4 linked regions of the Struthio camelus genome follow. The protein of the gene in region 4 binds, or shares a complex with, the protein of the main gene of each other region. Links are inferred from orthologs where the notes say so. Each region holds a gene or a part of one and is shown on either strand. Other genes may lie near its edges. The genes, in order: MED21, MED23, CCNC and MED25.

Evidence for each region.
Region 1: MED25 (region 4) and MED21 share a complex: the UniProt entries of both Homo sapiens proteins name them as parts of the mediator complex. The link is inferred for Struthio camelus from reciprocal best matches to the Homo sapiens genes MED25 and MED21.
Region 2: MED25 (region 4) and MED23 share a complex: the UniProt entries of both Homo sapiens proteins name them as parts of the mediator complex. The link is inferred for Struthio camelus from reciprocal best matches to the Homo sapiens genes MED25 and MED23.
Region 3: MED25 (region 4) and CCNC share a complex: the UniProt entries of both Homo sapiens proteins name them as parts of the mediator complex. The link is inferred for Struthio camelus from reciprocal best matches to the Homo sapiens genes MED25 and CCNC.

The regions. Positions count from the first base shown.
Region 1 is NC_090942.1:77,129,166-77,136,428, reverse strand, and holds the start of MED21 (mediator of RNA polymerase II transcription subunit 21), read right to left. Parts: upstream 3,002-7,263; 5' UTR 2,963-3,001; coding exon 2,921-2,962; intron 2,601-2,920; coding exon 2,486-2,600; intron 564-2,485; coding exon 463-563; intron 1-462. Other genes in the region: TM7SF3 (transmembrane 7 superfamily member 3), read left to right, coding at 6,458-6,542. UniProt on the Homo sapiens protein: Component of the Mediator complex, a coactivator involved in the regulated transcription of nearly all RNA polymerase II-dependent genes.
Region 2 is NC_090944.1:71,468,294-71,475,470, reverse strand, and holds the start of MED23 (mediator of RNA polymerase II transcription subunit 23), read left to right. Parts: upstream 1-4,170; 5' UTR 4,171-4,208; coding exon 4,209-4,277; exon of another isoform or gene 4,278-4,442; intron 4,443-6,317; coding exon 6,318-6,349; intron 6,350-6,458; coding exon 6,459-6,546; intron 6,547-7,177. UniProt on the Homo sapiens protein: Required for transcriptional activation subsequent to the assembly of the pre-initiation complex. Component of the Mediator complex, a coactivator involved in the regulated transcription of nearly all RNA polymerase II-dependent genes.
Region 3 is NC_090944.1:54,823,382-54,831,102, forward strand, and holds the start of CCNC (cyclin-C), read right to left. Parts: upstream 3,008-7,721; 5' UTR 2,826-3,007; coding exon 2,794-2,825; exon of another isoform or gene 2,790-2,793; intron 2,008-2,789; coding exon 1,901-2,007; intron 1-1,900. UniProt on the Homo sapiens protein: Component of the Mediator complex, a coactivator involved in regulated gene transcription of nearly all RNA polymerase II-dependent genes.
Region 4 is NW_027182651.1:76,212-83,799, forward strand, and holds the start of MED25 (mediator of RNA polymerase II transcription subunit 25), read left to right. Parts: upstream 1-4,582; 5' UTR 4,583-4,702; intron 4,703-6,251; 5' UTR 6,252-6,265; coding exon 6,266-6,393; intron 6,394-7,282; coding exon 7,283-7,328; intron 7,329-7,588. Other genes in the region: FUZ (protein fuzzy homolog), read right to left, coding at 350-418, 1,701-1,785, 2,529-2,650, 3,519-3,617. UniProt on the Homo sapiens protein: Component of the Mediator complex, a coactivator involved in the regulated transcription of nearly all RNA polymerase II-dependent genes.

The sequences.
Region 1 (7,263 bases), on a different chromosome or scaffold from region 4:
ACAGTTAGTAACGTTGTAGGAGAACATAAGGCTTCAATAAAACATTGACTCTGCAGATACAAAACAAAACATCTAATGGGCAGAAGAATATGAAAGGTTATCCAAGAAAAAAAGCCAATGTTGCATCTGCTGTATTAGTATTTGAAAAGCTGGAAAAAAACACATAGCTGCTTAGAATACTGTGATGTTATCAAAAAGCAGATTTTTTTTTGAAACCCTTCTAAGAGAAAAATAAGTTTAAAATATTCACACTGCGTAGAATTTAATTAAGAACTAGATGCAAGAAGCAGGATTTCCAGTGAGCCTACACAGAATTCATCGTCTAACCTCATGAAAAATTCAGGCTTACATTGAAGCCATTTTTCAAAATTACATGGTCTGAAGAGTAAGAAAGTGTGCTGAAAGAAAGCAAGTAAGCTGTCTTCAGTTATGTTTTGATAGTTTAATTAAGAATGCTCTTACCTGCAAAGCAGCTGTCGATTCCTCGCTAGGCAAGGAATCTATTAGAACATCGATATCCTTTGCAGTTCGTGCAATCAGTGCTGCAAACAGTTGGGCGTATTCTTAAAAATAAATAAATAAATATCAGCCTACTCGATACATTATTAGAAATAAGCACAATTCTGCATATGGAGTACAGAATATTAAAAAGATCTGAAGCATTCAAGTGTTAACATTTCTCCTTGCACTGCTTCTTTTAAGAAATGAGAAAATAGCTAGAACTCCATCATGGTTAGCCACTTCAGAAATTACTAGTGAAAGGTATCAAGTGTCCTAGTCGCTACATTAAGTATTCAGAAATAGCTAGCAACTCATTTAACCTTTCAATCTTTGCCTTCAAATCTGCCACTATATATAAGAACACTAGAAATTACATGAAAATAGTAATAGAGATTCAAATGCACAGAGTAAGTTATTATGTCAAGGAACAGACCATTAGTGAAAGAATCTGAGAAGATTTTTTGAAGAAGAAAAAAGATCAGCCAGAGGAAAAGTTAATTGTCACGGAGAAAGGAAAAAGAGACAAGTTTGTAATAGATCTTATTTTGGCTACAAAAATCATATTAAAAGTGCATACAGTTCTTCCAAAGAAGCCCTATAAGGCAGAAAATCACCTTGAGTTTGACTTGGAAGTTCATAACTCTAGCTAAAATATTCAGACATCCCTCCTTAGCTTATAGCTTAAGATCTTACACATTTTATGTTGATTGCTTCCAAAGATCTTTCATGCAGCAAGACAAAATATTTTCTAATGGTAAGATCTATAGCAGAGATTGACATTCTCAGAGGTAGACTTGACTTTAATTAAAAAACAAAACAAAACACATATCATTAAAGCTTGCTCAGTGTCATCCCATATATACTCTTGGCCTGTAAACAAGTGTTCTATATGCTTTTAAGGCCTTCTTATCAAGACTTTAGCTATCTGAAGACATGCAACTAGTAGTTTAGTCTGGTCTGATCAGCATCGCTAACTTGGCTGTACGATTTTACTGAATTCACTTTATTCAGAGCTTCAGGACAAGACAAAACAAAAGATGATCATGGACTATGATTTTAAGACCTTAACAAACCTCTGAGCTCCAAAGTCGTCATGTTGATACTTAGTACCTGGGACAGCAGCTAGTGACGTGAGGAAGCGAGCCAACCTTTCGGCTACCTTCTCCAACTAATTCCCACACCAGAGAGCAAACCAATGAAGGATGAGACAACAGCTGTCCTGAAAAGAGCATCACTGTGCTCCAAACCAGTCTCCCCTGATATCCCAATAGTCAAATCTAATCTGATACAAGATACATGCAAATTTTCTCAGGAAAATACACAGCAGCCAAAAAAGAAATCATCATTTAGCAAAATGCTTTGACCAGAACATCCACAGAAGCATTGAAAGGTACCCAGGATTAGAATAACATGCTTATTTGATTACTAACTTTAAATTCTCAGATTGAGGAGAGAACTGTCTTTTAGTCTGCTTTCCAGTTGCAATGCCATAGATTAGATCCTTTTCTCTCAGCACCACCCCCAACCCCAAATGCCAAGAGGGCGATTTAACAAGGTAGTATTATTTAATCAATTAGATAAGCAGACAACGCCTGAAGAAACACAGGAAAAGTTAAAACTGTAAACGGAAAGTTTTAAACTCATGCATTATTTGATAAAAATTACACTCATTCTCAAAAACAAATTTTCAAAATAACGGACAAGTCAGTAAAAGCATCTCACAGCTGTCCTATTAAAGTCCTATTATATCTGAAGGCTTACTGTATCTGCACAAGAAATGCTTTTCAACACTCAGTTAACACACAAAATTCTTATACAGCACGTGCAGCTGACATCAATTTATGATTTGACCTGAATCACTCCTCCAGTTACTGCTGGAATAATGCTTGCTAAGCACAAAATAGAATACAAATCTTGAATTACTGTGCATACTGTACCAGAGCGTGTTCACCCTGAGCGGGCAGACCCAGAAATAAAGACTTGCCTTCTGTTGGATTAGCAGGCTGATCTTTGTTTATTGCTGTCTGAATGTTGCTGAAAGAGGCAGGGGGGCCACACTGCTGCAACACGCCGATGGCGTTACAGAACTGGTCTGCGAGCTACAGGCAGTAAAGAGAGGGTTAAATTACTTCAGTCTAAAGACATTTCAGGCTTATTTTTCATCCCAGCGGCCCTCAGGCAGCACAGCTGCCCCCCGGGGTTAGGCGGGAGCGCACCCGCAGCCCACGACCGCCAGGGCGAGCGGGGCCGCCGGGGCTCGGGGCCGCCGCCGGCTGTTGCGCCCTGACGGGGGCGGGGGGGGGGAAGCGGGAGGCGCCCCGCTCGCGCCCCCAACGGCCAACAACGGCTGGGCGCGGCGGCGGACAGCAAGGAGGGGGGTGGAGAAGGAAGAAAGCGGCGCCCCCGGCGCGGCACTCACCGAGTTCACCGCGTCCTGCAGCTGCGTTAACCGATCCGCCATAGCGCCGCCGCCGCCGCCGCCACCCCCCCGCCCCCACCTCCCGACAAGGCGCCTGGCAGCCGGCGCAGCCAATGGGACGCCTCGATGTTAGAAGGTGGGCGGGGGAGGGGGCGCCGCCTGGCGCGCCCCCTGCAGGCCGGGAGGAGCCCGGCGCTGCGGCGGGGCAGGGGCCGGGCTGGGGGCGCTGCGGTAAGAACCGGGGCAGCCCGCCTTTCAAAACGGCAGGAAACCACTTTCTTAGGCTTTTTGCTTCCTTGCCTTTGGTGCAGTTTGCAGCTGTTGACCCGCTTGTGCGGAGGCAGGCAGCGCACGCACGCCTGGGCTGTACAGAGACAACGCAGGCGCTTCTGCGGGGCTGCGGCCACAGCCCCAACGTCAAGTAATTACGTTTAGAAAGGTAGGCTCGGACCTTAGCCTGGGCCTTTCCTGCCCGCGGACCCTCGTGCCCGTCCACAGTCCTGCCAGCTTTGTTAGCTTCTGGATAACCACAAGTCTCTTTCTCTTCTGCCCACAATCAGGGTCATAGTTAGGTTAGTCTGAGTTAGTAACTTGAAAGCAAAAATTGGAGTGAATTTTTGTTAAGCTGCCTTCATGGTAAGAATGAGAAGCAGCTCTGCACATATCAGTAATATATCATAACACAAGTGTTACCTATGATGAATGCTTCAGAACAGATGTCTCTAATCTCATGGGATAGCAGCAGCTATAGGGGCATCCAGAGGCTGACTACAACCTTCTAGATAATTTGCATTCAGTTACAAGGGCCTTAGAAAGAACAGGTTCCCAAGGGCAAATCCAGGTATCATTAAGAGTCATGGTGAGCAATATCATTTTATTTTAATGGGACAAGAACTCGGCCCAGAATGTATTATGAGTAGTTCAACAGGGGCAAGTACTGAGACAGAAGAGGAAAAAGCACTATAAAATGTGCTATTCGGTATAGAACTGGCATTTCAAGTCAATTTATTTCTCTCCGAGACACAAGTACATACTCACGTGATATTGTAGTTCGGTAAAAAACTGAATTCTTGTATTATTGACAATAGAAGGCTGGTGAGCCACAAAGTGTACAGCTTTTGCTGTACAACAATCTTTCTGCCTCTGGATAAAGACAGAAGTAGCACTCTGATGGTCCACTCCAGCACTTGAGCTGAGTAGGTGATAATGTCGAGTGACCAGGAGCGGTAAAAAGCCAGGAGTGGTAATATCTTCAACAGTCCAGCTTACATTCAGCAGGAGTTTGCTATACCTGCAGGTTACCAAATAGGAAATACCAATTTGTGCAAGTCAGTACGCTGATATTTAGCTTTGGTCATTGAACAGCTAAAGATAAACTTACAGGATAATGATCCTGTCTGTGATACAAAATCTTCTGATATAGGTATTCCCACAGCATTCTCACTGGGAAGTTCAGGGAGTACGGACTGGATGAGATGGCTGTTAGATGGATTGAAAATCAGCTGGACCGTTGGGCTTCCAAGCTTGTAATCAATGGTTTGATGTCCAGTTGGTGGCTGATAACCAGCGTAGCACCCAGAGGGCCTGAAAGAGTTGGCTGATACTTTTGCTGTGGGAGACGACATCAAAAGCCTTACTGAAGTCTAAGTATTTTTACATTGCTAATCTTTGCTTGTCCACACCCCAGTCATTTAACTGCAGAAGGCAATCAGGTTGTTCAAGAATGTTTGGCCCTTGGTAAATCTTCACTGTCTGTTCCTGATTATCTTGGTGCCCGTCACCCGACTGGAAATGGATCCCAAGGGAAGGAATGTGCTCCTGGAGGTGAGGCTGACTGGCTGGTCTGTAGTTCTTCCTTCTCACCTATCTGAAAGATGGGTATAACGTTAGCTTTTCCCCAGTCAGGGACCTCTGCTGATGACCACGGTTATGGCCTTGGGAGGGCCCAGGTGAACATTAGGAAATCTATTCAGCACGAGGAGGGCAATGCGGCACTGGGACAGGTCCCGCAGAGAGGCTGTGTGCTCTCAGGCCTTCAAGGTCTGTATGACTTGGCTAGATGAAGCCATGGCTGATCTGATCTGGTGTCAGCCATAGTCTAGCTTCAAGTGAGCGGTTTAGCTAGAGACCTCCAGAGGTCTCTTCTGACTAACTTTTCTGAGAAGCTGCGAGTGCAGCCACCCAGCAGCAATGTGTCTGTGGAGGAATCTTCTTGAGGCTCCCCCAGCTACCCTCTTTGCCCCCATATTAACTACTCTGACAAAAGTGTGTTTCTAATAATATGGTCGGGCTTACACCCTTGATTTTGCTGGCCTGCATGCATAAACTAGGATGCGTGTTTTCTTCGCACTCCTTGGTTAAAAAGCCAAGTCACCAAAGCGCTATGTTGTATAGCAAAAAGTACTGCTCATTTTTAAGGGAGTTCCAGCTGTTTTGGAAATGAACGGGCTTTTTTTGGACTTCCACAATTTGAACGGATGCTGGCGTGAGCCTGGAATAAATGAGGCGCGCGGCATGAGACAAGCCTCTCTCAGGCTCTGTTCCTCTGCGACACGGGCAAGTAGTGTGCACGTGGAGCCGTGAACAAAGAACAGCCGAGGTCTCACCGCCGACTCTGACGGACAGTGGCTCAGAGCAAAGCGCTAAACCTAACAGTCTTTCAACGTTACTTATTTTGACCTAAGGAACCTTGTTGGGCAGAAGGAAAAAAAAATCAGTAAACTAGATATCCTTACTGAGACAGGCTGCCTTCCGAAGGACCTTAGGCAAAGGTAGGCAGAAGAGAGTTCACCCATTTGACTGAAATAACTATAGTCTTAAACATGAACCAGTATGCATCTCTTTGTTTGTTGGATGTCAGAATGAGAGCTTTATTTTACATTCTGTTAACTGAAAAATGGATTAAAGCTGGGGAGGGGAGGGGAGGGGAGGGAGGGTGATGGCGCACGGCTTACGCTTGCTCAAGGTTTAGGTTATTGCCTGAATTCATAAACGAGGCGCAGATATTCACGAGAGCAGCTTCGCATTGGCAAGAACTCCAAAGAGCAAGGGCGAGAAGCGGGAAGACTTTGAGTTTGCCTCCCGCTTCCCCTGTCCCGTGCGCATGAATCACGGCCGCAAGCGGAGGCGCCTGGGCCGGCTGCGAGAGCGCTTCCCGTGTGCGGGAGCGCTCCGCAGCACTTGACAAGAGCGCTGCGAAACAAACCGCGGGGACGTTAAGAAAAGAGAGAGGAAAAAAAAAAAGGAGGCTTTAAGAAAAACAGATTCCCCTCCCTCCCCCTCTCCCCAGCCTGGAAGCCTGGCCAAGCAGCAGCGGGCCGGAGGCGGCGGTTGGGCCGGGCAAGATAAAGAGCCGTGGGGGCGGCGGTTAGGACCGTTACCGCGGCCCCCGCGCGCTGGTCCGTGCCGTGCCGCCCCTCCCCCCGCGGCGTCTCCTCACGGCGGGCTCGGGGGCGGGCCGGGCGCCGCGGTGCCTCCCGCCGCCGCCTCCGCCTCTCGCCCGCTCTGAGCCGCCTCTCCGCTTCCCTCCGCAGCGCCATGCGACTGCCGCCTTGCGCCGTGGTGCTCCTGGGGCTCCTGGGGGCCCTGCGCGGCGTTGCTGCTGCGGCCGCCGCCGCCACAGGTGAGGGGGCGCGGCGGGCCACCTCATGGCGGCCGCGGGGGTCCTCTGCGGAGGCGGGTGGGCAGGAGCGGTCGGTGCGCGCCGGGCAGCGGGCGCAGCGCAGCGCAGCGCCGGTGCGAGCGCGGCCGACATGGCGGGGCCGTTGGCCGGGAGGGGAGAGGCCCGGCCCGGCCCTGCCCGGAACTCCTCGCAGCGGCGCCGGGCGCGCTGAGGCAGCGGGGACCTGGCGCTCAGGGTTTGAGCCTAAGCTAAGATCAAAGCAAAGATAGAGCTGCTTGAAGAGCTGAGGGGGGCAGGAGGGGAAAAAGAAAGGTTATCTTAGTCTTTGCTGATGTTGGCATAAAGAGTAGGTAGGGGAGAACTCATTCGACCCTCCCCCCCCTTCCCTTTTTAAGCAAGGAGGAGGGTTGAACAGCTCCACAGTCTCAATTGCTACAAACGCCATCATTTTAACTCTTAAGTAGGTTTGCTTGACTAATTTGTTGCGGTGGGCACCAGGGATGCGGTGGTGCTGATGAGTTTGGAGTATTATGCTCTCTGAAATGAGATAGGGTAGTATTCACTACCTGCAAGTTTATATCTGAAGGAGAGAGAGCTAATTGCTTTTTGTGGACCAGGTACAAGTGGTCCTGGGTTCTGTGCTAACCATGTCTTGAAGAATGTCATCCCTTAAACTTAAGAAAGGCCAAAGCCCCCAGATTCTGGAGCTTGCTTCCTAGGG
Region 2 (7,177 bases), on a different chromosome or scaffold from region 4:
ATACATTGCTTTTTCAGTCACTGAACTGTGAATTTAAGTGACTGCTCCGCGTAGAGTCTGGCATACTATGCAAACGCAGGTCTAGGGAACAGATGCATCCCTTGCCCTACTTACAGTCCAAATCGCAGTCCTCGGTAAATCTGGCATGCTCAGAAACAGGAAAACTATTTAGAACAACACAGGCAGGACATCGCTGTCATATATGTGTTAATCTGCAGTTTGGGGAAACAAGTAGAAAGACCTAATGTAGCACTGTGTTGTAGCCAGTTTCAATTTCCACTATACTTCCTGTCGTTTTAAGCTACTAAACATAAATTACAGCAACTGAAAGTGTTTGAAGACCATCAAGAACCAGATAGGCTTCAGGTATCCTCCTCATAAATTAAAAGGCACCTTCATATTCTTTTGTTATCCCTCTTCCAAAAGGAATGGAACTCACACAAGAAAGGAAAGAAATCTTAACCATTTCTCGCATAAATGTTTACCATTCTTAAACAAATGGTGATTGGTTTTCTGCCTGAATAAAGGACTGAAATACCAACTAGGCTGTATACAGAGAGATACTCGTTATTCCACACGCACTTTGCATCTTTCATGAATTCTCTTGAAGGCCAAATTATTTTATTTCAGTAAAAATCCTGACTTAAAGACTTCGTACATCTTACATTCCACAACAGCATTTGAAGTCTGTGGTATCATAAAACAGCAGATGAAATTGCCATGTTCCATTTCTGGATCATACAACTTAACACACAGGGAACTGTGGCAATTTCACTAAGGCTCTAGCCTACACAGTTTTACCTGTGACTTACCTGCTGCTTTCACTTATTATATTAAATATGTGTAGGATACGGCACAGTCCCAAAAAATGTGCGGTCTGTGCAGAATGATGTCGTTACAACATTCAAACAGTTCAGTACCCTGTCTCATAGACAATACTTACTGAACCTATTTTGGATTGGTTTCAATCAAAAGGAAAATTCAAAAGCTTGCATTTAAAAGGCGGAGATCTTGGAAGGGAGCACAAGATGAACTGGTTTCATATCCAAAAAATGCCAAATAGTCTTATCTGATGTTCTGAAACATACCAGTATGCTTTACTGCTGCCTACAGATTAATTTTATTAATATAAAAGGTCAGAATGATAATAAAAATCAATTAATTAAAGTCCACTTAGATGCCAAAAATGAGGTGTTGGTTGTTGAATAAATGAATGCTAGTTTTGCTCGGAAAAAGAAGTGATACTGTATCAATTAGCCAGAGGAACATTTAAATTAAAGACTAACCCAATAGCTGGAGTGGATGAATAACTTCCTTGTTATACTTGTGAAGCAATTGTACAACGTTGCTTGTCAGAATGTTTGCTCAATTTTTTTATAATCATTTTGAAATGTATATTTTCTTTTCTCTCTCTGGATTAAGAGGGTCATTTCTTTCTCACGTAAAAGTTTCTTGATCTTCCTTGTCTGGTCAGGCCTAAGGCTTTACGTTATCTAATAAACACAGTTTGACAGGGCTTCATTGCTTGGCAGAGGCACCTAAGAGTCACCTCAGTGCTTAAGATCTGTACTGTTTCTTCTCTTTGATATTCGGTTCCCTCAGACATAGCAGGACCATCATTACTTAGGTCTGACTAGGTAGCGTCTCAGAGCCTCGGTCCTACCTCAGTGATCAGATCCTAACCAGAGCCTAAGGCATGGTTAAAAATGGTTGTGGTCTGTGAGTGTGACCTAATACTAATGCAGATGAAAGTAAGAATAGTAGATTGGTCCCCAAGATAAGATATAATGCTAAGTAAAACAGCACCTTCAGGGCTCCATTACGAGTCATTTGGGGGAATGGACAGACAATTTGGCAGAGAATTAAGAGCATACACTGTTCTGAATGTTGCTATTTTGATAAATAACGATCCAGTCCGTCCCGTGTGGGCAAGTGCTGTGTCTGGAAGTTGCAGTGACATCCAAGTGCACGTCAGATCTCTGTGCAACACACTTTAAATAAGCACAGAGTGAGTGTAAGGAATGACAGTTCTTACCAGAATACGTGTTTTTCTGTTAAGGCCAGCTGGCAATCCAATTACAAAAGTGATACAAACAAGTGTAAAGGGACCTTCAATCAGATCCTTTCTCTGTTTCCAGTGATCATTCATTTTACGTATATGTAGGTAAAAAGCTTACAAGCACACACAGTTTGTTTCCCAACCTGGTATTTCCCATTACAGACAATAATACACTAATTGATTCAGTTATGCATATTACTATTGGCTACAACATGCATCTCTGCTAGCAGTGTAATTCCTGGTGCCACTCATAGCACAATTTCCTGAAAATTTTTATTTTTAAAATTTATTTATAACATCTCAGTGCTTACATTATCTATTCTTCTGGGACTGTTTACACCAAAGCTGTTTACATTTAGAATAAATAATTTATCCAATTCAATGTGAGGTTTTGGTCTGTGGGTACATCCTGCTATATTCCACTCAATTCAAATCTGGAAATTTTCATTTCTCACTGCTCTGAGGCCTTCAAGTATCAGCTAGAATTTGGGAAGATTAGTTTTATTCTGCTGTAGACATAAGCCTGTATCTAGTTATCAGTGCTAGCTGAATTCAGGTTCAGTGCTGTTTCAGGAGACTACGCAGTCAAAATGGTCATAGACAGAGAGGTCAGAAAATACAACGTCAAAGAGCTACAAGATTTTAAAAATATTTTGCTTTGGTAATTACATTTATTTTTAATCTAAAACGCACTACATATATACGATGTATTATCAAACACTTTCAAATAAAAACCTTTTGAGTTTATTCTAACTTTTTTAATGGGAATGAGTAATTCTGACTTTATATTAATTACAGCAAACTACTGTCCTGTAATAATGTAAGGGCTCCTTACTGAAAGGAAGGACCACAACGTGTATTTTGTCAAGTTATTCTAAAACCAAAGAAGCCTAAGTAAAAAATTTGCATGGAATTTACTGTGGTATTTCTTCCCTCTTCTGCAACTACATGGCTTTACAATCCCCTCTTCCCTCTTTCTTTTATTCCTCATTCTCTTATTCTCTTTTTAGATTCTGCAAAGACTCAGAGAGGATGGGGGGGGGGGGTGCGTGCAGCTGTTCCTACAAAATGGAAGAGGCAGCAGTATATATGCCCACACTGAGCTGTCTTTTCACTTCCTCAGCAGCCATGACATCTCCAGTGCTTACAGTAATTTCTCTTCTGATAAATAAAACAAAATAAAATAAAAGCACGCGGGTCACAAAGCCACGCTGGCCGCTTGCCATACAGACCCAATACATGGGTACTGCCAAACGCAGTTGGACGCAGCACTGAAGCCCCATCAGCGGCCTGGCGTGGGCCTGAAACGTTGAGCCCGGAGGAGGTTTAAGTTCGGGAAGTGGTTTTAAAGGGTTTGGGCAGCCAAGGCCTGTTAGGAAAGCTGCTGGGACAGCCGGTGTTGCAACGAGGCTGCAGGCGCCAGCTGGACGCGAAAGGCCGGAGCTGCCTGACGGGTTCGGACGCCCCGGCCGCCGCCTACGGGCGGAGCGCTGCGCCTCCCCACGGGCGGGCGGGCCCGGCCCGGCCCCGGCCAGCCTCGTCCACGCCATCTGGGCCGCAGATAGGCCCCGCAGCCGCCGCCCCCAACGGCCGCGGCGGCCGTTATCCGCCCTCGCGCCCCCTTCCGCGCCGCAGGAAGCTGAGGGGGGAGGGGGCGGAACGCTTTCGCCGCCGGAACCGCCTCGCCGAGAAGTCGGTTTCCGGGGGGGGGGGGGGAAGGGGAAGGGTTTGGGCACGGAGCTTCCGGCGCGGGGGAGGGGAGGCTGCGCCGCCGTCCCGCCTGACAAAGGCCGCGGCCGTGGGCTGCGCCGCCCGGCTCGGCGCGGTCCGGCTCGGGCGGCGGCGGCGCCGCCATGGCGATCCCCATGGTGCCCATGGAGACCCAGCTACAGAGCATCTTCGAGGAGGTGGTGGTGAGTCCGCCGCCGGCCTGCCGCCAGCGGGGAGGAGGGGCGCGGGCCGCCGGCGTTGTCGTGGCCCGGCCCAGGCGCGGGGGAGGGCGGAGAGGGGTGTCCGCAGCTGCCGGCCCGACGGGCGGGAGCCCGTGAGGCCCTGCGGCCCCCTGCGCGGCCCGGCCCGGCCCGGCGCGGGCCCCCGGGCGGGGCGTGTCGGGCCCCCTAGGGGCGGTGCATCTTGCCGGGTGTAAAACATGGAAAAACAGGTCTCCAGCGTCGCGGTGTTTGCGTTGATGCAGTCGCTGTGTCCTCACCTCTGCGCGGTGAGTCGCCGCCGTCGTGCTCGTGCTGTCGGGCCCGTCGCGAGATGTGCCCTGCGGAGCCGTAGAGGGAGAGAGTTTCTTGAAGCACACATTTCTCGCCTGGTGTGTCTTTATAGTGTGCCCGAGTCCGACACAGGGTAGAATCGGGCATGATATAGGTGGGAGGTAGGTTGCTTACCCAAAGCCGAACTATGACGTGTTGAATTCGCTTTAAAATAAGCGTGGTTTAAGTTGGCATTAAGAAGAGACTATGAGAAAATGAGTGTCTTGAGAAGGTGCTTTTCTTAAATAAATGGAATGACTTGAGGGAATCCTGGAAATGAGCCTCACAGTGGCACCAACAACACAAAGCATGGTCCAGCAGATCGAGAAGTCATCGTTTTGTATACTATAAATAGCTAAAATGTCTGAGTAGCACGTTACTACAAGTTTGTGTCTAGTACAGTGGTGCTTGGGAGGGGCAAGACTAGCCAGCAGTGGAGTAGAGAAGAGGAAAATGAGTAGTACTATGAATCAGGCAGGTGATCCCACTGGCAATTTTTGGTAGATTTGAGTACTTGGTGGCTAGTAGTGTTATGGTCAGAAGCCCTGGCCTGTCAGTAGCTTATAAGTACTTGAATGGGAGCTTCAAACTGACTAAGACAAGAAAATCTGGTGGAACTGGCTATATTTGAACAATAAATGTGTAGGCCTGCTAGACAAGACTGAACTGATAACAAAGTCCAAAAGTTTAATTTCAATAGATGAAAGGCTGTGTTTCTTCTTTTTCTTTTGCATATATGTTCTATCCTTTATAGAGAAGGATATCATGCAATTTATAATGTTAAGTTGCCCATACTTGATGAGTTTTTTGGGCACTGTCATTCAGATTATGCTTTCACGTGTTTAACTTTGTAATTTGACTATGTTGTCACTGTTTGTGATTGTCTCGAACAGCAACAAAAAAAGTCCCTGAAAAACTTTCATTGCCTCTTCTGAGAGGCTGATGGGGTTGTTTTGTTTTATTTATTCTGGTTTGAGATTATGTTTATTACCCTAGTCAGGTAAAATGATTAACTATTGAATCTAAATGTGACTGTTGGTGATACTGAACACCTCTCTTGTGTTCCCGGCTTTTTTAAAGCCATAACTGAGAACATAGGAAGTTGTAACTTTCACTGTTGCTGTTACCAGCTTTGCAGACAATAGTGAAACTCACTTAACTTTCTGTGCAGAACAGATTAGTATCAGGTTCCCTTTTGCTTCTTGAGAAAGCTATAAGTAGCAGAGGCAGTTAGTTTGAGGCTTTACAACTGAGAAGAATCACTGGAAAGATTGTTTTATTACTTGTTGTTACCTCTAGCACGTAAGGATGAAAATATGTGTGGGTTATAGACATCACATCGCAGTATAATACAGAATGCCTAAAGAAGGCAAAAAAACCTATAGAGTAGTGTTTTCCAGAGCTCTTTTTTGATAAATTAGAATAATGATGTAGAAACCTTTGAGCAAAATGGCATATAAAAATGAATGTTATAGAGGAGGTAAATTAGGTGTTTGTATATAGTCTTTCTCACAGGACAAGACCTTATGATCATTAAATAGAAATTTAAAAAGCAATGGATCTAAACTAAGAAGGGGAAGCAACTCTCTGCATAATTGGTTTATGTAACCCAGTGTGACAGAACATAACTGAGACAAAAAATTTAATCCTATCCACATCTGAATCCTATTCAGAATAGGTTTCATTCCTTAAAATATGAAAGACAAGCCACAATTACACAATTGAATAATTTCTCCAATATTGGGATATAATTAATTTTTAGGTTTTTAAAAGAAAAGAAGAAAGAGCCTTAATGTAGAACCTCAAAATGTTACATAAAAACAAAGCAGTTTCAACTTCTAAAGAGTCAAGCCTAGCAAAAACATAAATCTGCCTCAAGGCCTTCTGATACAGCCCCGTAACAGTAGAACTGTTACTCTCTAGTGCTTTATCCTGGTGGCACAGCACTCCCAACAGATCTTTTCACAATAGGCTCACTGAGGGTTTTTCTCTTACAGAAAACAGAAGTAATTGAGGAAGCTTTCCCTGGGTAAGTATAATGACAGTTTATTTATGCATGATTTTCTGTGTAATTATATTTTCTACTTGTGCTCTTTTGTTGGTGAACTGCTAATAACTAATGTTCTCATTTGCATTAGTATGTTTATGGACACTCCTGAAGATGAGAGAACCAAACTGATCAGCTGCTTGGGTGCTTTTAGACAGTTCTGGAGCAGTCTTTCCCAGGTTACCTTTTAATTTGTTGTCTGTATAGATGCACTTTTATAATGTGGCAGCACCTTGTCTGGTAGACAAGCACTTAACCTATAAAGTCCGTTTCCTGTCACTCAGAATCTGATTTCAGATGTGGCACAATATAGAATATAAAAAGACTTTGCAAGAAAAAAGGTTTTTTACATCAATAAGATTATATAGCTGCTTAGAAAATGTTGCTATGCAGTCCTTATAAAGATAACCGAATGGAAGTAGAACAGTCATTTTTTTAAAAAAAGGTAATTTTTCATAGAATTTCTGGTAGAGGTGAATGTAGAAAACAGATATGTTTAATGAAAAACACTGTTTATATGTAAAGTTTGCCTTCCAAAAATTAGATACCTGTAGGCATTCTTCTTGTAGTTGGAGACCTGGTCATCCTCATTTTCAGTGAATTTGATTATAACTGTGAAAAGGAAGGAATAATGCAGAATAGAGGTCTATTTTATTCTACTCTGTGCTGAAAAATTTACATGTGAAAAACAAAACTGACTCGAAAAATCCTCATTTCAGCTATGAGGTGTGACTTCAGAAGGAATTATTTCAGATGTCCTATTAAAATAAGATCAAAAGACTTGTGGAAAACTGGATGTTAGGGAGTTGG
Region 3 (7,721 bases), on a different chromosome or scaffold from region 4:
ATTTACAAAATAAAGGGTTTCAGATTTTTTTTTAAAAAACGTTGCTTTAAATTCAAATGTTTTTTGAGTAGCCTGTAACACAAACATTACGACTCCTGCACTCAGTCAAAAAGGGAAATCAATTAATTGGCTTTTCAGCCAAAACCTCTATTAAAAACTCTGTGATCCAAACAGAAAAGTCAGCATGAATTTCCTCCTTTGAACTATTTCAGAAGATGACAATTTTCCTTCTCTACAGTTTTAACAGTTCAAGTAGTCGTATATAGTCATACAACCAGTCGGTGACCTACAGCAACCATTTTCAAATGCGGACAAAGCAGGAAGCTGCTTTTCTCCAGGTAATTTCCTGGTTGCTTTGGGGAGAGACTGTCTCCTGGAGGCAGACGCAGGTTGAACGTGGCAAGCCACGGTCATAGCTAATGCAGGGGTGGGAGAAAAGAGGGAAAAAAGCTCTTTACGTTCAAAGCCGAGTGCTGAATTTGGGGGCAGGTGGCGAGATATAACACATATTGAGGGCTCGAGCAAAGCAAGCACTGCATGAGCTCCCACTGCTACACAGGAGCTCCAGGCTGTCCCCTCCGTGAAGGTGCCTCTCTCTGCCACAGAAGGGTTGACAGCCCAGTGCCACTCTCTCCTCCAGGGTATGCTGTGTTGGTCCACGCACAAGGGAGATGCTCGCAGAGCTATGCTCCAGCTGCCACGGGCCATGCAATGTACCCTCAGGAGAGGCAAGGAGTGCCAGAGGAAAAGGAGCTTGTCAACCACAAAGTGAAACCGACTCGTCTACTTTCTAAACCTTTGTTTACTCAATAAAAATACTGAAATGAAACATGAAAAATGGCAAAAGGTATTTTATGTTTCATAATTCAAATTAATACTAGTGAAAATTAACATAGAAATATCATTTAAGAACTGTCACTATCCCATTTATTCTTTTGGCATTATGAAGCTAAGATACCTTGTTTTATCCTCAATAAACTTCAGAAATCAATCAAATAGATAAATCATTGGTTGCTTGATTTTCTGGTGCTGTACAAGTGAACACAGACCTAAAAACAGTGATCAGATTTGCATCATACTTGATCATTACAAAAAAAGCTAAGCTAAGAGAGAGGCTGGGATAAGTATTTTTCAGTTATAATCCATCACCAACATAAGATCTTTCAATAGCCTTGGGAAAGCCACTTAACTTTTCTGCCTCAAGTATGTTTGACCAATCTGATTTCCGCCAATAAAGCTATTCATATGGTCAAATGGTTTCTAGGACCTAGTCTCAGATAACTGCGCAGAGACAAGCCCGAAACTCTCTAGGAGAACAGGCTGCTGACAGCTCTCAGTCTTGTAGAAAGTATCCAGCCACTTGAGAGCCACTGAGTGCTGGGGAACCAGTCATGAGGCCACAGGCTGTGGAGCGGGTTTCAAAGAGCGTAACTGAACACAACTGACAAGTTTGCAAGCTATTTAGCAAGACTCCATGGACCAGCTAAAACACTATGACTTAAGAGCTCATCAAAAAAGCTCAAGGCCCACAGTTTGAGTACTACTGCTTAACACAGTGTCTCCAATTTGCTACTTCAGTAGTTTCTGTTGGCTTCCTCTCCTTTTATTTTTTTCATAAGAGCCTCTTGGAAATAAAAAAATCTACTATTTGTCCTCTCATAAATTAGAAAAAAAAGACATACGCAGCTAATTCATCTATAAATTATCCTAAAGATGCATTAATACAACTAATCTGAATGACAACGCTATTGATATTCCAGCCCTTCATTAAAATATGTTAGGAAAACATATGTAATACAACAATGAAAACATTGCATTCTCTAAGCAGTTAAAACTTGCACGAAGACACGGCAAATACTATATAGATTACATGGCTGAACTAAAAATAAAACAGTTTTACCATTAGTAAAAAATATCTGTAGTTTCCAATATTCTTCTTCAGTAAGAAATTTCAAGTCTTTTTGGCGTTCCTTCAATAGATCTTGTTTATCCAAAATCCATTGTAAACTAAAGAGAGAGAAAATAATTTTAGCAACTCTTTATGAACATCATATTAAGCATCGCCTGTACAAACGACAACAGACTACAGCTTAGGCCTAAAGGGCACGCGGCCTTTAAACAAACCGTGTACGTTCTTCCCAAGCAAATACTCACTAGCTTTTCCCAAGGTAGATATCCAAAAAAAAAAAAAAAAAAACACTAGCAGGGACCAAGAAGATCACTCCTTACCCGCAGCAAACTAAACCGCAACACAGTGAACGGCATTAAGACGTGCGCTACCAATCACTTGTGAATTTTAAGCTATATTTAGTGCACCTCGGGCATCCATTCAAAACTCAACCTACCCAGCACAAGGCACCTTGCCACAGCGCAACCCTGGCCGCCCTAGCGCTGCAGACAGACACCGGCCCGCAAGACCTCGGCGCTCCTCGCTCGCAGCAGCGGGGGCCGCGCACTGGGCACCAGGCCCACGCGGACACAAACGCTGCTTCTGCGGGGCACGGGTGGCCTCCTCCGCGCCCCGAAGAGGCCCCAGATACGGCAAAAGGCCCTCCCGAGCCATTTAAACGGCCCTATTTCTACTGATTGCTATGGCCATTACCCTCCTTAAATTATTCACCGCTATTATACTAGCCCTCTCGGCAGCGATACACCCCGGTTTGCGTGGGCGCTCAGCACCGCCCGGCCCCGCACTCCCCTACGCCCCGGCCCCGGCCCCGGCCGCGGCGAACAAAGCCGGCCCGGCGCAGCCGCCCGCCCGGCCCGCAGCCCCCCAGCGGCCCGGTTACCCACTAGTGCGAGCTCTGCCAGAAGTTCCCGGCCATGAGGAGGAGGAGGAGAGCGGAGGCGCCCCGGGCCCGCGATCCCGCCGGCCCCGCCGCGCCGCGCCGCCTCCCCCGCGCCGGCAGCAGGAAGGAGGCGGCCGCCGCCGCCGCCGCCGCCGCCGCCGACCGGCAACACGCGGCGCAGGGAAGCCGTTCCCCTGCACGCAGGTTCCGCCCGGCCGCGGCAGGGCCCCGGGCGCCAGCGGCGTTGGCCTTGGCGGCGGCCCGGCGCCCTGCCTGCCCCCCGGCCCGCCTCGGGGGAGGGGGCCGCCGCCGCCCGCCCTGCCCCGCCGCTGCCCCTCGCCCGCGCCGCCTCCTCCCGGCGGCGCCGAGCCCTGGTTGCTGACGGGCGGCGGCGGGATTTGGGGCCTGTGAGGAGCCACCGTCGTGACCTTCATTGCCAAAATGCACTTATTCACCGTTTGGTTGCATGTGTCATCTTCTGCGCTGTCACGAAACTACCAAGCCGGGGGTGGGGGGAGGAGGGGAGAGTCTTCACCAGATGGCAAGGCCCAAACGTTCGTCCTCGCCATCACCCCTAAGGACCCTTCCCAGCCAAGCAAAGCCCCGACCAAGGTGCTCTTTCCTCAGGTTTTCCCCCTTCTTCCTCCCCACATGGAGAGGCTGCAGACAGCGGGAAGGCGCCCCGCGCCCCGCGCGCGTTGCTGGAAGGCGACCCCAAGGCGAGGAGGCGCCCCGCGCCACCGGGGCTCGGCCCGGCCGGCGGCCCCTGGCCCAGGCTTCGTCTCCGCCGACCGGCCCAAGTCGCCGAGGCTCTTGGCCCCGCCGATTCCCCCAAGAATGAAGAAAACCTACCGAGGCAAAAAGCGTCCGTTGTAAAGAAACTCCCGGTTTCATTCTCTGGTGTTTTAGAACTTGATTATTCGTCTTTTAACGGCAGGACTTCTATTACAAGGGAGCCTGCTCCCCAACCAATCCTTGATGCAAATCACCGCTTATGGCACTCTGAAGACTTGCAGTGTGGGGAGCAATTCTCCAGAGACAATACGTCCATTATAATTGATTTTACAGTTACACGTAGTTGCATTCTGGTGGCTTAGCCTTGAAAAGTGAGCCTCTGAAATAGCATTGCGCTAGCCTGTATTTATTGTTTCTTAATAACTTACCTCTCCTGTGCCAGATTCACAGTTGCACAAAAGTTTCTGTTGCTGCTCTAGCAATAAAAAATACCATACAGTTTGCCTAAATGGGGAGGGAATAATAGTCAGGTAAGGTTTGAATCTACAGCGCGCTGGCTAATTCCATGCTAACTCGCTCTGCGGAGACTCTTAAAAGGCTGTTGGTCAATGGCCAGTTTATACAGAATACATTCCAGATTCAGTATTGCAAACACTTACATCTTCAGGATGGCACAAGCAACGACGTTGTTAGTAAAATTCAGAGGTACCGTTTATACAAAGAAAGAATGCTATTTCTGTGGAAAGCAGAGGAGCACAGCCATTATGTAACACTGGAGAGCGCCAAAATGGATACTCAGAGGTACCTATTTACGTGATGTGTGAAACAGAACAATGCGAGTTTCTTTGCGTTTCCTACACCATCCTTGACAAAATTCTCCATCTTTATTTTGACATATAGTTCAACGCTGCTAATGACTAGATATGGAGTCTCTGTTTTGAAATTCAGTAGAATCACCGCACCTTGCTTTCAAAAACGGCTTAGTGGAACCAAAATGCATTCTGTCACAATTAAATACTTAGCAAGCATCCCTTGATATGGCGTGGTTGCCTCACGGCACATTCTGGACGCGAAAGATTTACTTTGCCTAAAAAGGGTTTACCCTGCATACCTTAGTTTGTGATGCTCTAACTTCCCCAGATAGACAAGTCACTGAAAGGGTGGCAGTAGCTCTTTGAAATTCTTCCTTTTAAAAAAAACGCTTTCCTGCATGGTGTTCTTGTGGTGTCTGGATTCTGTACTAGTCTGCTCCCAATTTCTCGTGTGTCTAGAGATGGACATTATAAAGGTTGGTCCAGACAGTGCCGGCAGTGCATTACTGGCCCTTGTTTCTGTTCGCACAAGCTCAGAGGGTATGCTGAAAAGGACAGCACGTGCTGGAATAACCCTGAACCTTCTTTAATTTATTTTAAAGGCTAAGCAAACTCTTGTGTGACAGCAGGGTATGATCATAAAAGACAGCTTGTTACCATTTGACTGCTTCTGTCCTAAAAATGGGAAAACTGAAAGAACAGAACCCTCACCTACTCAGTTTAAGCATGGTGGGTTTTCCAGTTTTAGAAACTAGCTAGTTTTGCACATAAGCTTCTTTCTGTGCATAACTACAGTCCGTGGTCAGGCACTTGAAAGAAGTCCTGTGCTTTAGAGGACTGAGCCCTCTCTCATAAGACAGTGTTTCTTGAATTGGCTTGGTGCTACAGATCCTATTTGACAGTAACTGATAAGTAATAGCTGCACTTTGAAATAGCAGGTTAAATAAAACTGCTTTATGGATGATAAGTAAATAACTAAAGCCACTTATTTCTCTTGTGTTGTCCCCACTGCACTTAAATTTCCCTTTATCTTACCCATTCCCAGAGTTGCAGGACTCTGCTTGCTCTGTGCTGGGGAGCAGCTATGCAGGCAAACGTCTGAAGTCGTTTAGGGAGAATCTGGGCCTAAATCCTTTGCTTCCTTTTCATGTTCTTTATTGTGATGATACATGAAACAGGGCTCCCCACTTTTAAATGGGATCTGAGATGTCCTCTGCTGTATACAGTTGGGAAGACAGCATCAAACCAGGAGTTGTAGATCCCTGTACCTACATAACAGCACAAAGAGGGTGGAGGATAAGGTCCGAGAGAGAGGGAGGGCGGATGCCTCTCCGTTTCTTCAAGCAGTACTACCACTAGGGGAAGTATACCTGATTTTTGCAGTGAGACCAGTGAAAAAACTGCCTATTTATAACGGCTGAAGGGAACGTAGCTGAATACCAGTAGAATCAGCAGAAGCACACAGCCACCTAGGGACCCAGAATAAGGTTGCTGTGACTCATGCTGTTACAGTCCAAGTATCTATATTTCTATCACACTTTTCCTAAAAGCTAGCTCAAAATTTCTGTGTGTGTTTGGGGGCGGGGAGGCGGGAAGAACATAAGGAAAGAGGTCATTAACACTTGGGTTGTGACAAGTTTCAGACATTTTTAGAGTAGTGACATAGCACAAGGCAAGGTGGTAGGACGCTGTGAATACAGGAGTGCTATACGTTGACTCACAGACTGAGGCATGTGAAAAGGAGAGCTTGAAACTTGGTCAGCGACAGCAGTCGAGGGTCTATAGGTAAACAAAAGGGTTAGCCAATGCTGGCATGCTGTGTGGAAAAGCTGCTGGAGGACTACCAAGATATTTTATAGTTTACTGGTAGCTTTGATGTTAAATTGCTGTTAGTTTATAATGAATTTATAAATCAAGTCCGAGGAATTAAATCTCTCGGACACCTCACCATCTGCACAGATCAATGAGGTTGTACAGCAGTTAACCAGTCCTGTACACAAATTCAAGATTACCTGGCAATAACGGTCGCAGGGTTGATTTTCATACTGCTTATGCCAATTCAGTACAGGGGCAATTCCATTAACTTCAGTGACTGTGTGGTCCCGGTGTAAACTGGGGCAACGTGAGCTCCCTCTTCCTCTGTGTGTCAGCCGTGCCAAGGTCCGAAGCACGCAGGAGGGTCGACAGCCATGGGCCGGACCCCATAGCGCTCGCCGCCTGGGACTATGCCCCGGCCCCGGAAGGGTTAAGTAAGTCACTCCTGAATGCCTTGCCCACTTCCATACCCTCCACTGCAAAATCAACATCTAACTTAGTTATCCCTGATGGAGACTCTTACAAGGCAGAATCTAGATCCAGCATTTTGGAGGTTATTTCCTTTCCCTCCTAATATAGAGGCATATATGTATGCATACACTCTTATACATAGATGAGCAAGCATATGTATTTATTCATCCTGCAAGCCTAATTGTCAGGGCTGAATGTGGGTCGGAAAAAGGCTGCCGAGCCACTAGACAGAAAGACAGCTGGCAGCTGGCAACCCTCCCGGGAGAGCTGCTGCCTCATGGCCTTCCCATTCCCCCGGGAGCCGCAGCCGGTGGCTCAGGCCAATTCCTGCACCCACAAAAGTTAGCAGAGTTTCTGTCGCTGGTCACAGTGGGAGCAAGAAGCGCTCCTACAGGGCACTGCCTTGGCAAGGTGAAGTAACTCCTGGCTTATCCTGTGAGGAAGACTGTGCTCGGTGCTCATGGTTGTCAAGACCTGCGAGCACATGCAGACTATTTTTGCTTGGTCTGACAAAACCAATTTGTTCTAAGATGTAAGCATGCCTTGGCTGTCTGCAAGCAGTGTACTGTGTGAAGAGCAGGCCACTTGCTCCCTAGGGGTCCTCCTCAGAGTGGGCAAACTCTCTCCGGCTCCGTCCACCACTTCAGACATCTCCCTCAGCTGCATCTGTCTGAACTGAGAGGCTGTTTTCAGAGCCACAAGTAAAGATCTCTGCAAGGCAGCCAACAAAGCCATCACCAATAATGAAGGAAAAGGCTCCATTCAGCAGAATTTAGCGTAGGAATTGTGAACGTATTCAATGAGCAAATCATTGAAAGTATAACAACTGTAGTTCCTTTCTAGGCATCTCTTGGTATATGTGCATATATATGTGCATATATATGTGTGTGTGTATGTGTGTGTGTCTCTCTCTTTCTCTCTCTATATATGGCATTGTGCTAGGCAAAGGTGTGCCTAGAGGGATGTAAGTATATAAGTGTGTATATCCGTATGTACACACATATATAGGCATACATACATGTGTAGGGGGACCTGAATGCTATCTTGATGCTGTCATGAAAGAGATGCTCTGTGAATCTCTCTCTCTCTCTGTCCCTGC
Region 4 (7,588 bases):
CCCAGACCCCCATTTGCCCCCCCAGACCCCCCTTTTGCCCCCCCAGGCCCCCATTTACCCCCCCAGACCCCCATTTGCCCCCCCAGACCCCCCTTTTGCCCCCCCAGGCCCCCATTTACCCCCCCAGACCCCCATTTGCCCCCCCAGACCCCCCTTTTGCCCCCCCAGGCCCCCTATTTACCCCCCATAGTTGCCCCCCACCCCATATTTGCCCCCCGACCCCCCTTTATTTGCCCTCCCCCGGGCCCCCAGCCCCATAATTGCCCCCCCAGCCCCATATTTGCCCCCCCAGCCCCATAACTGCCCCCCCAGCCCCATAGTTGCCCCCCCGGTGCCCCCCCCCCCGCACCCGCAGGTCCCGCTTGAGCCGCTCCACGTTGCGGACGGGCACCAGCTCCTCCAGGCCCAGCACCAGCACCTGCGCGGGGGGCACTGGGAGCGACTGGGAGCGACTGGGAGGGGCACTGGGGGGCACTGCGGGGAACTGGGGGGCACTGGGGGGCACTGGGAGCGACTGGGAGGCACTGGGGGGGCACTGGGGGGTACTGGAAGGGGCACTGGGGGGCACTGGGAGTGACTTGGGGCACTGGGAGGCACTGGGGGCGCACTAGGGGGTACTGGAAGGGGCACTGGGGGAACTGGGAGTGACTTGGGGCACTGCAGGGCACTGGGAGGCACTGGGAGGCACTGGGGGGTCCTAGGAGCAACTCGGGGCACTGGGAGCCACTGGGGGGGCACTGGGAGGGATTGGGGAATACTGGGGGGGCACTGGGGGGAACTGGGGACACTGGGAGGCACTGGGGGGCAGTGGGGGGCACTGGGAGGAACTGGGGGGCACTGGGAGGCAATGGGGGGCACTGGGGGGCACTGGGAACACTGGGGGGCACTGGGGGAACTGGGGGAACTGGGAGGAACTGGGGACACTGGGAGGCACTGGGGGGGGCACTGGGGGGAACTGGGTGCACTGGGAACACTGGGGGGCACTGGGAGGGATTGGGGAATACTGGGGGGGGCACTGGGGGGAACTGGGGACACTGGGAGGCACTGGGGGGCAGTGGGGGGCACTGGGAGGAACTGGGGGGCACTGGGAGGCAATGGGGGGCACTGGGAACACTGGGGGGCACTGGGGGAACTGGGGGAACTGGGAGGAACTGGGGACACTGGGAGGCACTGGGGGGTACTGGGGGGCACTGGGTGCACTGGGGGAACTGGGGGGCACTGGGGGGAACTGGGTGCACTGGGGGGCACTGGGAGGAACCGGGGTGTACTGGGGTGCACTGGGGGGCACTGGGGGAACTGGGGGGAACTGGGGGGAACTGGGAGGCACTGGGGGGCACTGGGAGGAACCGGGGTGTACTGGGGGGCACTGGGTGCACTGGGGGGCACTGGGGGAACTGGGGGGAACTGGGAGGCACTGGGGGGCACTGGGAGGAACCGGGGTGTACTGGGGGGCACTGGGTGCACTGGGGGGCACTGGGGGAACTGGGGGGAACTGGGAGGCAGTGGGGGGCACTGGGAGGAACCGGGGTGTACTGGGGGGCACTGGGTGCACTGGGGGGCACTGGGAGGAACCAGGGTGTACTGGGGGGCACTGGGTGCACTGGGGGGAACTGGGAGGCAGTGGGGGGCACTGGGGGCACTGGGGGGAACTGGGAGGCACTGGGGGCACTGGGGGCACTGGGGGGCACTGGGCCGCTCACCATGGCGCTGAAGACGGCGTCGAGGAGCCGCCCCAGAGCCGCCTCGGAGGCGCCGGGCTCGGAGCTCAGGGCGATCAGCGTCACGCTGTGGGGCGCCCCCCGGCGTCACCCCCGGCGTCACCCCCGGTGTCACCCCACGGTGTCACCCGCCCCGGCGTCACCCCCCGGCGTCACCCCCAGTGTCACCCCCCGGTGTCACCCGCCCCCCGGCGTCACGGAGCTCAGGGCGATCAGCGTCACGCTGTGGGGCGCCCCACGGCGTCACCCCCGGTGTCACCCCTGGTGTCACCCGGCCCTTGGCGTCACCCCCACCGTCACCCGCCCCATGGTGTCACCCGCCCCGGCGTCACCCCCCGGCGTCACCCGCCCCCCGGCGTCACGGAGCTCAGGGTGATCAGCGTCACGCTGTGGGGCGCCCCACGGCATCACCCCCGGTGTCACCCGCCCCACGGTGTCACCCACCAGCGTCACCCGCCCCACGGCATCACCCACTGGCATCACCCACCCCATAGACCCCCCCCCAGATCCTCTCAAGCCAGATCCTCAGCTCCCCCCAGCCCCCCAACCTGCCCCTCAACCCACCATGGCAGCCCCCCAACTTGCCCCCCAGCCCCCCAACCTGCCCCCCCCGGTCCCCCAACCAGCCCTCCAGCCCGTCCCCCCCAGCCCCCCAGGCTGCTCCCCCGGCCCCCCAATCTGCTGCCCGGCCCCCCAACCTGCCCTCCAGCCCCCCAACCTGCTCCCCCAGCCCCCCAACCTGCCCTCCAGCCCCCCAACCTGCTCCCCCAGCCCCCCAACGTGCCCCCCCAGCCCCCCCAGCCCCCCGACCTGTCGTGGTAGCCCCGCCAGGCCACGCGGGCGCCCTCGGCGCTGGCCCCCCGCAGCCCCACGGCCAGGTTGGCCCCGAACATGTGCACGCCGTTGAGGGAGCCGATGAGCGAGAAGGGCAGCTGGGGGGGGGGGGGGGGGCGGGGTCAGCGCCCGGACGCCTGGGCCCCCCCGGACACCTGGGCCCCGACCTGGACACCTGGGCCCCTCCCGGACACCTGGGTCCCTCCCGGACGCCTGGGCCCCTCCCGGACACCTGGGTTCCTCCCGGACACCTGGGCCCCTCCCGGACACCTGGGTCCCTCCCGGACACCTGGGTCCCTCCCCGGACACCTGGGCCCCTCCCCGGACACCTGGGCCCCCCCAGACACCTGGGTCCCTCCCCAGACGCCTGGGCCCCCCCGGACGCCTGGGTCCCTCCCGGACGCCTGGGCCCCTCCTGGACACCTGGGTCCCTCCCCGATGCCTGGGCCCCTCCCGGACACCTGGGTCCCCCCCGGACACCTGGGTCCCTCCCCGATGCCTGGGCCCCTCCCGGACACCTGGGCCCCTCCCCGATGCCTGGGCCCCTCCCGGACACCTGGGTCCCTCCCGGACGCCTGGGCCCCTTCCCAGACGCCTGGGTCCCCCTGGATGCCTGGGTCCCTCCTGGACACCTGGGTCCCCCCCGGACACCTGGGTCCCTCCCCGATGCCTGGGCCCCTCCCGGACACCTGGGTCCCTCCCCGATGCCTGGGCCCCTCCCGGACACCTGGGCTCCCCCCGGATGCCTGGGTCCCTCCCGGACGCCTGGGCCCCTTCCCAGACGCCTGGGTCCCCCTGGATGCCTGGGTCCCTCCCGGACACCTGGGCCCCTCCCGGACGCCTGGGCCCCTCCCAGCTGCCTGGGCCCCTCCCGGACACCTGGGCCCCCGGATAGCTGGGTCCATCCCTGGACACCTGGGCCCCTCCCGGACGCCTGGGCCCCCCGGGGGGGGCGGAGCTCCTCACCTGTTGCCGGGCGGGGCCGCCCCGGGAGCGGCAGAAGAGGGGCACCCCGCTGCTGGCCGCCAGGCAGAGCAGGGACAGGGCCCCGCCCCCCTCTGCCATGGCCCCGCCCCCTCTCGCCCGAGCCCCGCCCTCTCCACCAGGCCCCGCCCCTCCCCTCAGGCCCTCTTTGCCTGGCTCCACCCCCTCAAGGCCCTGCCCTCCCCTACAAGCCCCGCCCCAATGCCCCACCCTGTCAGGCTCCGCCCTCCCCTACAAGCCCCACCCCTAAGGCACCGCCCTGTCAGGCTCCACCCTCCTCTATAGGCCCCACCCAATTCCCCACCCTGTCAGGCTCCGCCCTCCCCTACAGGCCCCGCCCCAATGCCCCACCCTGTCAGGCTCCACCCTCCCCTACAAGCCCCACCCCTAAGGCACTGCCCTGTCAGGCTCCACCCTCCTCTATAGGCCCCACCCAATTCCCCACCCTGTCAGGCTCCGCCCTCCCCTACAGGCCCCGCCCCAATGCCCCACCCTGTCAGGCTCCACCCTCCCCTACAAGCCCCACCCCTAAGGCACTGCCCTGTCAGGCTCCACCCTCCTCTATAGGCCCCACCCAATTCCCCACCCTGTCAGGCTCCGCCCTCCCCTACAGGCCCCGCCCCAATGCCCCACCCTGTCAGGCTCCACCCTCCCCTACAAGCCCCACCCCTAAGGCACTGCCCTGTCAGGCTCCACCCTCCTCTATAGGCCCCACCCAATTCCCCACCCTGTCAGACTCCGCCCTCCCCTACAGGCCCCGCCCCAGACCCCTCAGGCCCCGCCTATCCCTCAGGCTCCGCCCCCTCAGGCCCCACCCCCTCCAGCCCGGCCCTGTCACTCAGGCCGTACCCGGCCCCCTTCCCCCCTCCTCCCCCCACTGCCGCTGAGGCCCCGCCCCCGCGCCCCGCCCCCGCTCTTGGCCCCGCCCCCGGTGCCGGTGCCGGTGCCGGTGCCGCCGCTCAGGCCCCGCCGGCCGCCGCCATGTCCGGCGCGCTGGCGCCGCGCGGCGCCTGCCGGGAGCGAAGCGGTTGCCGCGGCGACGGCGGGGGAGGCGGGGCCAGGGCTCGCCCCGCCCCTCCCTCCCCGCGCATGCGCGGCGGCGGCGGGCGGACCGGAAGGGGAGCAGTTCCGGCAGCCGCCGGCTCGCGCCGAAGAGGAAGTGGACGGTACGGTGGCCGGCGGGGGGGGTCTATGGGTGCCGGGGGGGGGTCGAGTCGAGGGGGTCTATGGGTGCCGGGGGGGTCTAGAGGGGTTGAGGGGGCCCATGGGTGCTTGGGGGGGTCTAGAGGGGTTGAGGGGGGTCTATGGGTGCCGGGGGGGTCTAGAGGGGTCTAGGGGACCCATGGGTGCTTGGGGGGGGTCTGTGGGGGTTGAGGGGGCCCATGGGTGCCGGGGGGGTCTAGAGGGGTTGAGGGGGGTCTATGGGTGCCGGGGGGGTCTAGCAGGGTCTAGGGGGCCCATGGGTGCTTGGGGGGGTCTAGAGGGGTTGAGGGGGGTCTATGGGTGCCGGGGGGGTCTAGAGGGGTCTAGGGGGCCCATGGGTGCTTGGGGGGAGTCTGTGGGGGTTGAGGGGGGTCTATGGGTGCCGGGGGGGTCTGTGGGGGTTGAGGGGGCCCATGGGTGCTTGGGGGGTCTAGGGGGGTTGAGGGGGCTCATGGGTGCTTGGGGGGGGGTCTGTGGGGGTTGAGGGGGCCCATGGGTGCCGGGGGGGCCGAGGGGGTCTGTGGGTGCCAGGGGTGGTTGAGAGGGTCTATGGGTGCCGGGTGGGGTCGAGGGGGGCCCATGGGTGCTGAGTGGCTATATGGGGGTCGAGGGGGTCTGTGGGTGCCCGCTGGGGTTGAGGGGGGGCTTATGGGGATCTATAGGTGCCAGGGGAGGTCAAAGGGGTCCTATGGGTGCTGGGGGGGGTCTGTGGGGGTTGAGGGGGCCCATGGGTGCTGGGGGGGGGTTCTATGGGGGGTTGAGGGGGCCCATGGGTGCCGGGGGGGTTCTTTGGGGGGGTTGAGGGGGTCCATGGGTGCCGGGGGGGTTCTATGGGGGCTGAGGGGGTCTTTGGGTGCCCACTGGGGTCGAGGGGGGGGTTATGGGGATCTATAGGTACTAGGGGAGGTCAAAGGGGTCCTATGGGTGCCAGGGGGGGGTCTGTGGGGGTGGAAGAGTCTATGGATGCCGGGGGGGGGTCAAGGGGGACCCACGGGTGCTGGCGGGGTCTGTGTGGGTCGAGGGGGTCTATGGGTGCCAGGGAGGGTTCATGGGTGCTAGGGGTGTCGAGGGGGGCCCATTGGGGTCGAGCGGGTGTATAGGTGGAAGGGGGGTCTATGGGCCTTGAGAGGGTCTATAGGTGCTGGGGGGGGGTCCATAGGGGTCTAGGGGGGACTATGGGTGGGGGTTCTATGGGGGTTAAGGGGGTCTATAGGTGCCGGGGGAGTTGGGGGTCCATGGGGGTTGAGGGGCACCTATGGGTGTCGGGGGCACCTATGGGTCCTAGGGGGGTCCCTGGGGGCTGAGGGCGGCTCATGGGTGCTGGGGAGGGTTAAGGGGGCCCCATGGGTGCTGGGGGGGGGAGAGGAGGACTGAGGGGAGTCCATGGGTGCCGGGGCGGGGGGGGCCTCACACGTCAGGCGAGAACTGTGGGTAGAAGAGAGTTTGGGGGGGGGCACGTGGGTGTCGGGGAGGGTCCCATGGGTGCTGTCCTTTTCCCCCCCCCCCCGCCAGCACCCGCGGGGGCCATGGTGGTGCCGGCGCTGGAGCCCCCCCCCGCCATGGTGGCCGACGTGGTGTTCGTGGTGGAGGGCACGGCCAACCTGGGCCCCCACTTCGAGGCCCTGCGCAAGCACTACCTGCTGCCCGCCATCGAGTGAGCCCCCCCCCCCCCCAAAAAACCTGCACCCCCCCCCAACACCCTGGGGACCCCCTCGAAACTTTGGGTGCCCCCCCGAAACCCCGCGGACCCCCCTGAAGTCTCTAGGACCTTCCTAAACTCCGGGAATTGCCCCCAAAACTCTTGCTGCTTCCAGGGGGCTCCAAATTTTGGGGAGCCCCCCCCACAAAAAGCTCGGGGCCACCCCAAATCCCAAGAGATCCCCCCTCTCAAAACCCAGGGGGGGTCCCCAAAGCCCTTTGAGCCCCCCCCAAAACCTTGAGGGCCCCCCAAAAAACCTTGGGGACCCCTCAAAACCTTGTAGGTGCCCCCAACCCCAGGTTTCCCCCCCTTAAACCTTTGGGGCCCCCCCAACTCCTAAAGGATCCATCCAAAATGATGGAAAGTTCCCCAAAACTTGCTTGCATCCCTTGAGGATCCCCCCAAGCCCCCTAGGGACCCCCCAAAACTTCTAAGATTCCCCCCAAACCCTTAGGGACCCCCCAAAACTCCTCAGGGCCGGCCCAAACCCCTGGGGACCTTCTACAACCCCCCCTTGAAACCCCCTCAATTTCTTGGGGATCCTCCCAACATTCTTGGCCCTCCCCACCCTCAGGGCCCCCCAAACCTCAGGGACCCCCCTCAAAAACACCTGGAGCCCCCCCAAACCCCATGATGCCCCCCAAAATCCTCTAGAATCTCCCCCGAACCCCTGAGAACCCCCCCAAACCACTCACCCCCCCGAATATTTGGGGCCCCCCAAACACCAAGGACCCCCCCAAAGTGTCTGGGGATCCCCTTAAACCCTGAGGACCCCCCAAAACCTCCAACACCCAAGGACCCCCCCCAAAAATGGAGGTTCCCCTGCAACCGTCTCCTGCTACAGGTACTTCAACGGGGGACCCCCGGCCGAGACCGACTTCGGGGGTGACGTGAGTAAAGGGGGGGCGAGGGCAGGGATTTGGGGGTGGGGGGTGGTCGGGGACCCCCTCTTGGTGGGGTGTGTCACCCCTGGGACGTGGTGCGTCACCCGCTGGGTGTCCCGGGGTGGGGGGTAGTTTGGGGGTACGCAGTACAGCCTGGTGGTGTTCAACGCGGTGGACTGTGCCCCTGGCTCCCGGTGTCCCCCGCGCCCCTGGAGCGGTGCGTCCCCCCCCGCACGGTGCGTCACCCCCGGGACGCGGTGCGTCAC